Callithrix jacchus: one gene and its partner. The protein of the gene in region 1 purifies or fractionates together with the protein of each later gene. This does not show direct contact. Links are inferred from orthologs where the notes say so. Each region holds a gene or a part of one and is shown on either strand. Other genes may lie near its edges. The genes, in order: UQCC1 and UQCC2.

Evidence for each region.
Region 2: the proteins of UQCC1 (region 1) and UQCC2 purify together in Homo sapiens (co-immunoprecipitation; 3 studies listed by BioGRID and IntAct, counting the BioPlex papers as one, with this or other methods). This does not show direct contact. The link is inferred for Callithrix jacchus from reciprocal best matches to the Homo sapiens genes UQCC1 and UQCC2.

Annotation. Positions count from the first base shown.
Region 1 is NC_133506.1:3,967,448-3,971,265, forward strand, and holds part of UQCC1 (ubiquinol-cytochrome c reductase complex assembly factor 1), read left to right. Parts: intron 1-2,699; coding exon 2,700-2,808; intron 2,809-3,818. UniProt on the Homo sapiens protein: Required for the assembly of the ubiquinol-cytochrome c reductase complex (mitochondrial respiratory chain complex III or cytochrome b-c1 complex). Involved in cytochrome b translation and/or stability.
Region 2 is NC_133505.1:41,993,899-41,997,716, reverse strand, and holds part of UQCC2 (ubiquinol-cytochrome c reductase complex assembly factor 2), read left to right. Parts: intron 1-1,978; coding exon 1,979-2,053; intron 2,054-2,889; coding exon 2,890-2,959; intron 2,960-3,818.

The DNA of each region.
Region 1 (3,818 bases):
GAAGGATGGCTTGAGACCAAGAGTTTGAAGTTACAGTGGGCTATGATTGTGCCGCTGCACTCCAGCCTGGGTGACAGAGCAGGACCGTGTCTCTAAAATTAAAAAACAAAACAAAACAAAACCTTAGGCATTCCTGTTAGTAAGCTTTTGATTTTGCTGTTCAATGACGAGTAAATCTTTCTCCCTCTAAGGCCTGCCCATTGGTTCTGATTCTGACTCTTAGGTTTTGTTTGTTTGTTGAGTCAGGGTCTCACTCCATAGCCCAGGCTGGAGTTCAGTGGTACCATCATGGCTCACTGCAGCCTTGACCTTTTGTCCTCCAGGGATCCTCTTGCCTCAGCCTCCTGAGTAGCTGGGACTACAGGTACACGTCATGACACCTGACTAATTTTTATATTTTTCATAGAGATAGGGGTCCCACTGTGTTGGTCTCAAACATCTGGGCTCAAGTGATCTTCCTGCCTTGGCCTCCCAAATGCCGGATTATAGGTGTGAGCTACTAGGCCTGGCCTGATTCTCTTTGGTAAACAGTTTAATCACTTTTTTACAATGTCTAAGGCAACTTTCCTCTTTTTTCCAGGTTAAATATCTTTTGGTCTTCTTAAGATACATCTGGTCCTCCTATCTCTTAAAATATAATGTTCATTTGATAACACTGAAAGGAAAAAATAAAAAAATTTAAAAAATAATGTTCAAAACTGTGGATAGTATTCCAAATAGGTTCTGGTTTGTGCTGAGTAGAACAAAAGTCTCACTTTACACATGGACGATACTATATTTGCATGTATCTAAAATCACATTAATTTGGAGGGCAACATTGTTATCCTCTTGATTCCTACTGAGCATATAATGTCAACTTAAGCATGTAAGGCTTTTCACACATAGGTACGTGACTCATCTGTGTTGTACTCTTACAGTTGTTCTTTTAGACCCAGATACAGGATCCTGAATTTATCCCTGCTAAGTTGATCTTGTTAGATTCAATCTATTGAAGTATTTTTGGTTCATGTTTGGGTCATCTAGCACATTTGTTCTCCTGCCCAGCTTCTTGTCAGCTGCAAATTTGATAAATATGTTTTATTTTCTCCATCTTAGTTATTAACAGAGATGTTGAAACAGGCCAAGCTGTAATCATTTCATTGTACCATTGCTGGTGGATTTTAATTGGCAAGATCAATTATGTATGGAGGTAGAATTGTCAGGTTGAATCAACTGTTTCATAATTATGACAGGCATTGTCTTTTAGGTGAGTAATCCTATTGTAGCTGCTTACTAAGCTATTTAATGAAAGACAGTAAAAATAAGTATGGTGTTCCAGTCACAGTGGCTCACACCTGTAATCCCAGCACTTTGAGAGGCTGAAGTGGGAGGAAGTCTTGAGCCCAGGACTTTGAGACCTGCCTGGGCAACAAAGTGAGACTCTGTCTTTACAAAGAAATAAAAAATTAGCTGGGCTTGTTGGTGCACACCTGTGATCCCAGCTACACAGGAAGCTGAGGCAGGAGGCTCCTTTAAGCCCAGGAGGTTGAGGCTACAGTGAGCTGTGCTTGTGCCACTGCACTCCTGCCTGGGTGACAGAATGAGACCCTGTCTCAAAAAGGAGAAAACAAACAAAAAAGAATGAATAATGGTCATGAGATTAGAAACAATTATAAAAAGTTAGGGATGCTGCTTATATTCTTATATATAATAAAATATAATTCTTATACGTTTAGATTATGTGAGGTCTTGAGCAGAAAGCCCTTTGACCTGACTAAAGGCAATATGGTCTAGGGCCCTAAACTTGGCCCTGTGGTGTTTATTCATTTATTTATTCAGCAAGTGTATATTGAGTGCCTACTGTACTTAAGCCCTGCAAATAAAATGTTGACAGAAACCAGACTTGATCTTTATCTTCACTGGAGCTTACGTTGTAGTGGGAGAAACAATTTGACAATTACTTTCTGTGATCTGTGTTCTGGACAAGTGTTATCCAACAGAAATATAACACAAGCCATGTGTGTAATTTAAAATTTTCCAGTATCTACATTTGAAAAAGTAAAAAGTAACAAATTAATTTTAATAATAGGTTTTATGTAAGCCAGTATATCTGAAATATTATTTCAATGTGAAAGCAGTATTAAAAATGAATGAGATATTTTATATTCTCTTTCTTGAACTTAATCTTTGAAATCTTATATTTGTGCCACATCTCAGCTTTGACTAGAGCCATATTTAATGTGCTCAATAGCCACAGGGAGCCACTGTATTGGGCGGCACAGTTGTATACCCAGTTTTACAGATTCTGGTGTTGGGCAAATTACTTTTCTTCTTTAGGACTCCTGCTTTCATCAGTAAAATGAAGGATTCAGACTTGTTTATCTTCTAACAACAAAATGTGGTTCCCTCCAGGTATGAGGGAGCCTTTAGGGGTGCCCTAAATAATCTGTGTCTTGATCTGAGTGGTGCTTGTGTGGGTATATGTATAATATGTAAAAATTCATCAGACTGTACACTTAAGATTTATGCACTTAATAGTATCTTTGTTATATCTCAGTGAAAGTTTTTTTTGTTGTTGTTCTTTTTTAAAATAAGTTCACTTCCAGTTTGATTTGGTGCCCTTTGCTAAACTCACTCTTTCATGAGGAGAACTTCAGTGGAAATGTGTGATATGAAAAAGGCAAACAGCCAGTGACTCTTTTTGTCTTCTTCCCACCCAGGATGTGTCTAGTCCGAATGAAGCAGGAAGGCCGGAGTGGGAAGTACATGTGTCGTATCATAGTTCATTTTATGTGGGAGGATGTTCAGCAGCGTGGCAGAGTCATGGGGGTAAGTGAATGCTGTTAGATTCTGGTCCTGGACAATTCCAGTGAAGGGTTTGAGTTTGGAATTTTATCTGTTCTAAAATGGGCTTGCTTTTAGATTTCCGTGAAATGCTGCCTGATATCAAGTGGCAGTTCAGCTAAAGTCACTTTTTCTGCCTCTGTGGAGAAAATACTCCCCAGATACTTTATGTGTACACATTATTGTGATTTGCTAGTGTGAAGTCATCTTGTATGGAGATGGGATTTTAAAGCCCAAATCATGGTGATAGGAGGGATGGATTTGGTGAATGGGGGGAATCAAATGATAATCCAGTTCAGGATATTATACTTTTGACACCAGTGCAATATTTGAAACAGTCCTGTAAATTCGTTCTGATGGAAGGCCCTGGTAAGGGGCCTGCGCTGTCCTCACGAACTGAAATCAAGCTCCTTGATCGCTAGCAGCCTAGAAGAGTCTGGTAAGATACCTACTGAAAATGTACATTGGTACATTTAATGATTAACCTGAGAAAGGGGAATATATAGTGTGTGTGTGTGTGTGTGTGTGTGTGTGTGTGTGTGTCAAATGGAATCTGATGACAATAGAGAAATGAAACCAAAACACTAGAATATGTTTGGTTATACAGATCATAGTATCTTCCTTTGTTTCTATTGTGTATTTTAGCAGCCCGTAGATCATGTTTTAGTAGCTTGTAGTTCCCTGTTAATTCTCATTTCATTGCCTCCTAGCTTGGGAGCATTCAAAGTAGAACCATGACTGGGTCATGAAATGGGTTAATTTGGTTTCTTTCATTACAGGGCAAAGTTCTCCCTGTGGACTGACAAGTAAACAAAGTTTATAGACATATTATAAAAGTTACATATGCTCATAGAATAGAAATCAAACAGTAAGAGTGTAAAAAACAAGTGTCCCATCTGTCCTGCACCACCGCCCCCTGCACCCTGGTCTAACTCCCCAGAAGTAACCTTTATTTTTTATGTTTTCCTTCAAGGAAGGAGAAAAGTTACCATTTT
Region 2 (3,818 bases), on another chromosome or scaffold:
TATATATATATATATATATATATATATAGATATAGATAGATACACACACACACACATATACATATATGTATATATGTGAGCACATCTACACAAGTATGAAGAAAGAAAGCAAAAGATGAAATGCAGTTTTCTTTTGAACTAAATATTGTTGTGCACAGAAAACTTTGTGCCAGTATAATTTTCTTTTTCCTTTTGTGTCTTTTGCTTCCTGTCCTTCTGTCTTCTGTGTTAGCTCTTGGTTATGCATGCCCTGCTGAAGAAATGTTCCACGTGTGTTCATCCAAAGCATGCGTGCAGAATTCCTTTCTAGCTGGACTTTCCCTGGAAGAGCTGACCAGCAGCAAGGAGGCACGAGCCTCAAACTTCTCCATTCGTTCTGTCCACTCAGATAATGACTTTGATTATTACACTGGCCACCTCCTTAGGCCATAATCCTTCCTCTCTTGGTGTATCTAGCTGAACATTCTCATGATGTGTAGCCTGAAGCCAGGAACGGATCAGGTGGAACTAAATGATGGATTGTCTTTTTTGTTTGCTGTAAAGTGGGGACCTCATTTGACATGCACAGAGAAGCAGAAGTGGAGCTGCTTATTAAAGTGCTTTACTACTGCTTTATTTATGCTCTGCCTTCTCCAAGGAAGGATTTAAGTTAGGGAAAAAATCCTTCATTTGAATTCTGGGGAAAAAAATGTAAAAGAGAAAGTTTTGTTCTGGGGATCTTTTCAGAATTCTTGGCAGGAAAATGTAAAGGGAAAGAACTGTATGTAAACAATAGCAAGGACAGAGAAAAGGGAAAATTTAAAAAGGTGTGAAAGGGAAGAGACCATGGCTCATCTGTGTGCTGCCTGTCTTCCTGAGAATGTCCAGCAGGGGCACCACTGTCTCTGGCACCAGGTTTACTTATTTCTCCCTTTCTATGGCAAGGCCTCGGTGTTCTGGGCCATCTCCTTTCTAGCAGACCTAACTGGGGTCCCGTCTTGGTTCTCCACAGTTCACCCATTTCATCTTAAATGTTGCCTTCTTCGTGTTTCTTTCCTTCTTGTAGAGTTTCAGCAAACTCAGATTTTTTTTTTTTTTTTTTGGTCTTTCCCAAAAGAATCTGATCTAAGGCCAGGCATGGTGGCTAATGCCTATTATCCCAGCACTCTGGGAGGCCGAGGTGGGCAGATCACCTGAGGTCAGGAGTTCGAGACCAGCCTGGCCAACGTGGCAAAACCCTATCTCTACTAAAAAATACAAAAATTAGCTGGGTGTGGTGGTGCATGTCTGTAATCCCAGCTACTCAGGAAGCAGAGGCTGGAGAATCGCTTGAACCTGGGAGGTAAAGGTTGCAGTGAGCCGAGATTGTGCCACTGCCCTCCAGCCTGGCTGGGTGACAGAGTGAGATTCTGTGTCAATTTAAAAAAAAAAAGAATCTCCTGGTCTGGCCTGAAGCATCCTACAGGATTTCTGCCTCCTCTTCCTGGCTGAAGGCATCTCCTCCCCCAGGAAGGCCTGCCCTTGCTTCTGCTTGCTGACCCCTCTCCTTTCTTCAGAACCTTGCATCATCTAACTTCCTTCATGCACTGACCACCTGAGCATGTGGGGACTCCCCGACTGAATCCCTGCAGCCCACCCTACCCAGCACCTGCTTTGTTAGGCTCACCCCTAACCTTAGGTTTCTATTGTGGCATCTCCTGCTGCAGCTGGTGTGGTGGCTTACAAGTCACAGATGCTCAACAAATGCTTGTTTGCTGGTTAATTGATCTGATTCTTCTGCAGGTTGGGGAGTTGATGAGGCAGAGCTATGCCTCCAAAAAGTAGTTTCTAATAGCAGAGCTGTAGTCCAGGTTTGCTTCCCACAGAGTGGGGAAGCCAGTGCTAGCTGCAGGCCTGCTTCATGTGAATGCCTTATTAAGTACGGTCTTTCCTCAAGGTACAGACACTGTGGGAGGCAGGACTCCTTTGCTTACCTCCTTGGGGATTCTTTGCTTTTCAGATTGCAGAGCCTGAGGCCTGTGATCAGATGTATGAGAGCTTAGCGCGACTCCATTCAAACTACTACAAACACAAGGTGAGTGGGCCACCTTGCATACCCCCAGCTTTCTGACAGGACAACTAATGAGTGAAAATCTTGATTATATAATGTTTTGTAAAGAATTGGGTTTGCTGTTTTCAAATGAAACCAGTAATTTCAACCAAGCGAACAGAGGTGCCTGGTAGAGGCTTTTAGGTCATCTAAATAAAAGCTATTTAAAATTGTGAATATAGGGAATAGGGAAAAAAAAACAAAGAAAACCAATTCTGAATAGAAGCCATGTATTTGATATGCCAGTGCATGCCCTGGAAGTATCTGACAGCCATTGGCTTTATACCTATTTTCCCATCCACTCTGATGGAAGTGACACCTCCCCGCACTGGTGGGGATGGGATGATTGGGAATGTGCCCTCCTTTTCCAGAGCTGGGCCCCAACGTGATTACTGTTAAATTCCATTCAGAGTGGTTTTTCCCAGACTTGAAAAATATGTTCTGTAACTCCACAAATATATGTGGCCATATGCCCATGTGGAAAGTGAATTTTTTCTAAATCCTACTTACTAACATGTGGTCCATGAGCAGCAGTTTGGGCATCACCTGGGAGCTGGTTAGAAATGCAGAATCGGGCCCCGCCCATACCTGCGTTTTCCAGAGAGGACTCATGGGCACGATGAAGTGGGAGCTGCCTCCTGGAGACTGTACTGGTTCTTGCGAGGCCAAGTCTTGACCTCAAGGTGGCGCTGCTCTTCTTGCTAGGCCTCCTCCTCTTCTGGCCTCTGGTTGCCCAGGGCCCAAATGAACCGCAGTTAGAGAGCAGGGCTTGTGTGCTGATCTCTCCCCTCCCTTCTCTTCCTCTCTGCCCCTGTGACCAGTACCCTCGCCCCAGAGAAACCAGCTTCAGTGGCCTGTCGTTGGAAGAGTACAAGCTGATCCTGTCCACAGGTAATGAAAGCACAGCTGCCTTTTCTCATTGCTTTGCAGATGATTCTCGGAGTTTGAGTGGCTAAGGGGAATTGTCTAAGACAGCTTTGCTTGATGGAAAGTCCTGTAGAACAGCCCAGAGGAAATTCTGAAGCTACAGGCCTCATGCATTTTGACCATATACTGTGGAGAAGGTCAGAGGCGTTATTTAAAAATGAAATCTATCTTTAGTGCTTTTAAATTCAAGGCTGGGCAGCAGGGAACAGGGGAATACATATTTGCCAAATGGAAGTAGTTGAAATCAAGATGGAAGGAAAATAATTTAATTTTTATGGTCCTAAGAGGGCTTTATAAACAATGAAGGTTTTAATTAAAACAAAAAGCCATTCAATAAATGTGTTTGGGGATATCCGCCAAAGAGTTATCTGACCCAGGGGACGTGGTCTGTGGCTTAGATGAGTTTAACTAGGTATGTTTTCGAGTCATTGATAGACTGTGATGAACAAGAAAGGAAACACCCTGCCAAGCCCGTCCTTTCCTTGCTCCTATCTCCATTGTCCCTAAGGAGGGAGGCAGGAGAGCCAGGGCTGAGGTCAGCAGGTACTGGAAAATTACTATTTTTGTTGCCAAGTATATTATATGCAAAAATAGGTTAACCTTTTCTGGAAGGGCATGGCCCTGAAACATTTCCTTCTGGTATCTAGAAATGTGTCTTTCTTCTGATGGCAGCCTTCAGCTACTTAGTTTTGAGGATTTGGGCTTCTAGAAGACACTCTTCTGAGATTAAAACCTGGTGGTGTGACCTGCCGTTACCTGTCACTTCTAACCCTACTTTTATTCCAGTACTCACTGGAAAATGAGGGTAAAGATGTTTTGGCCA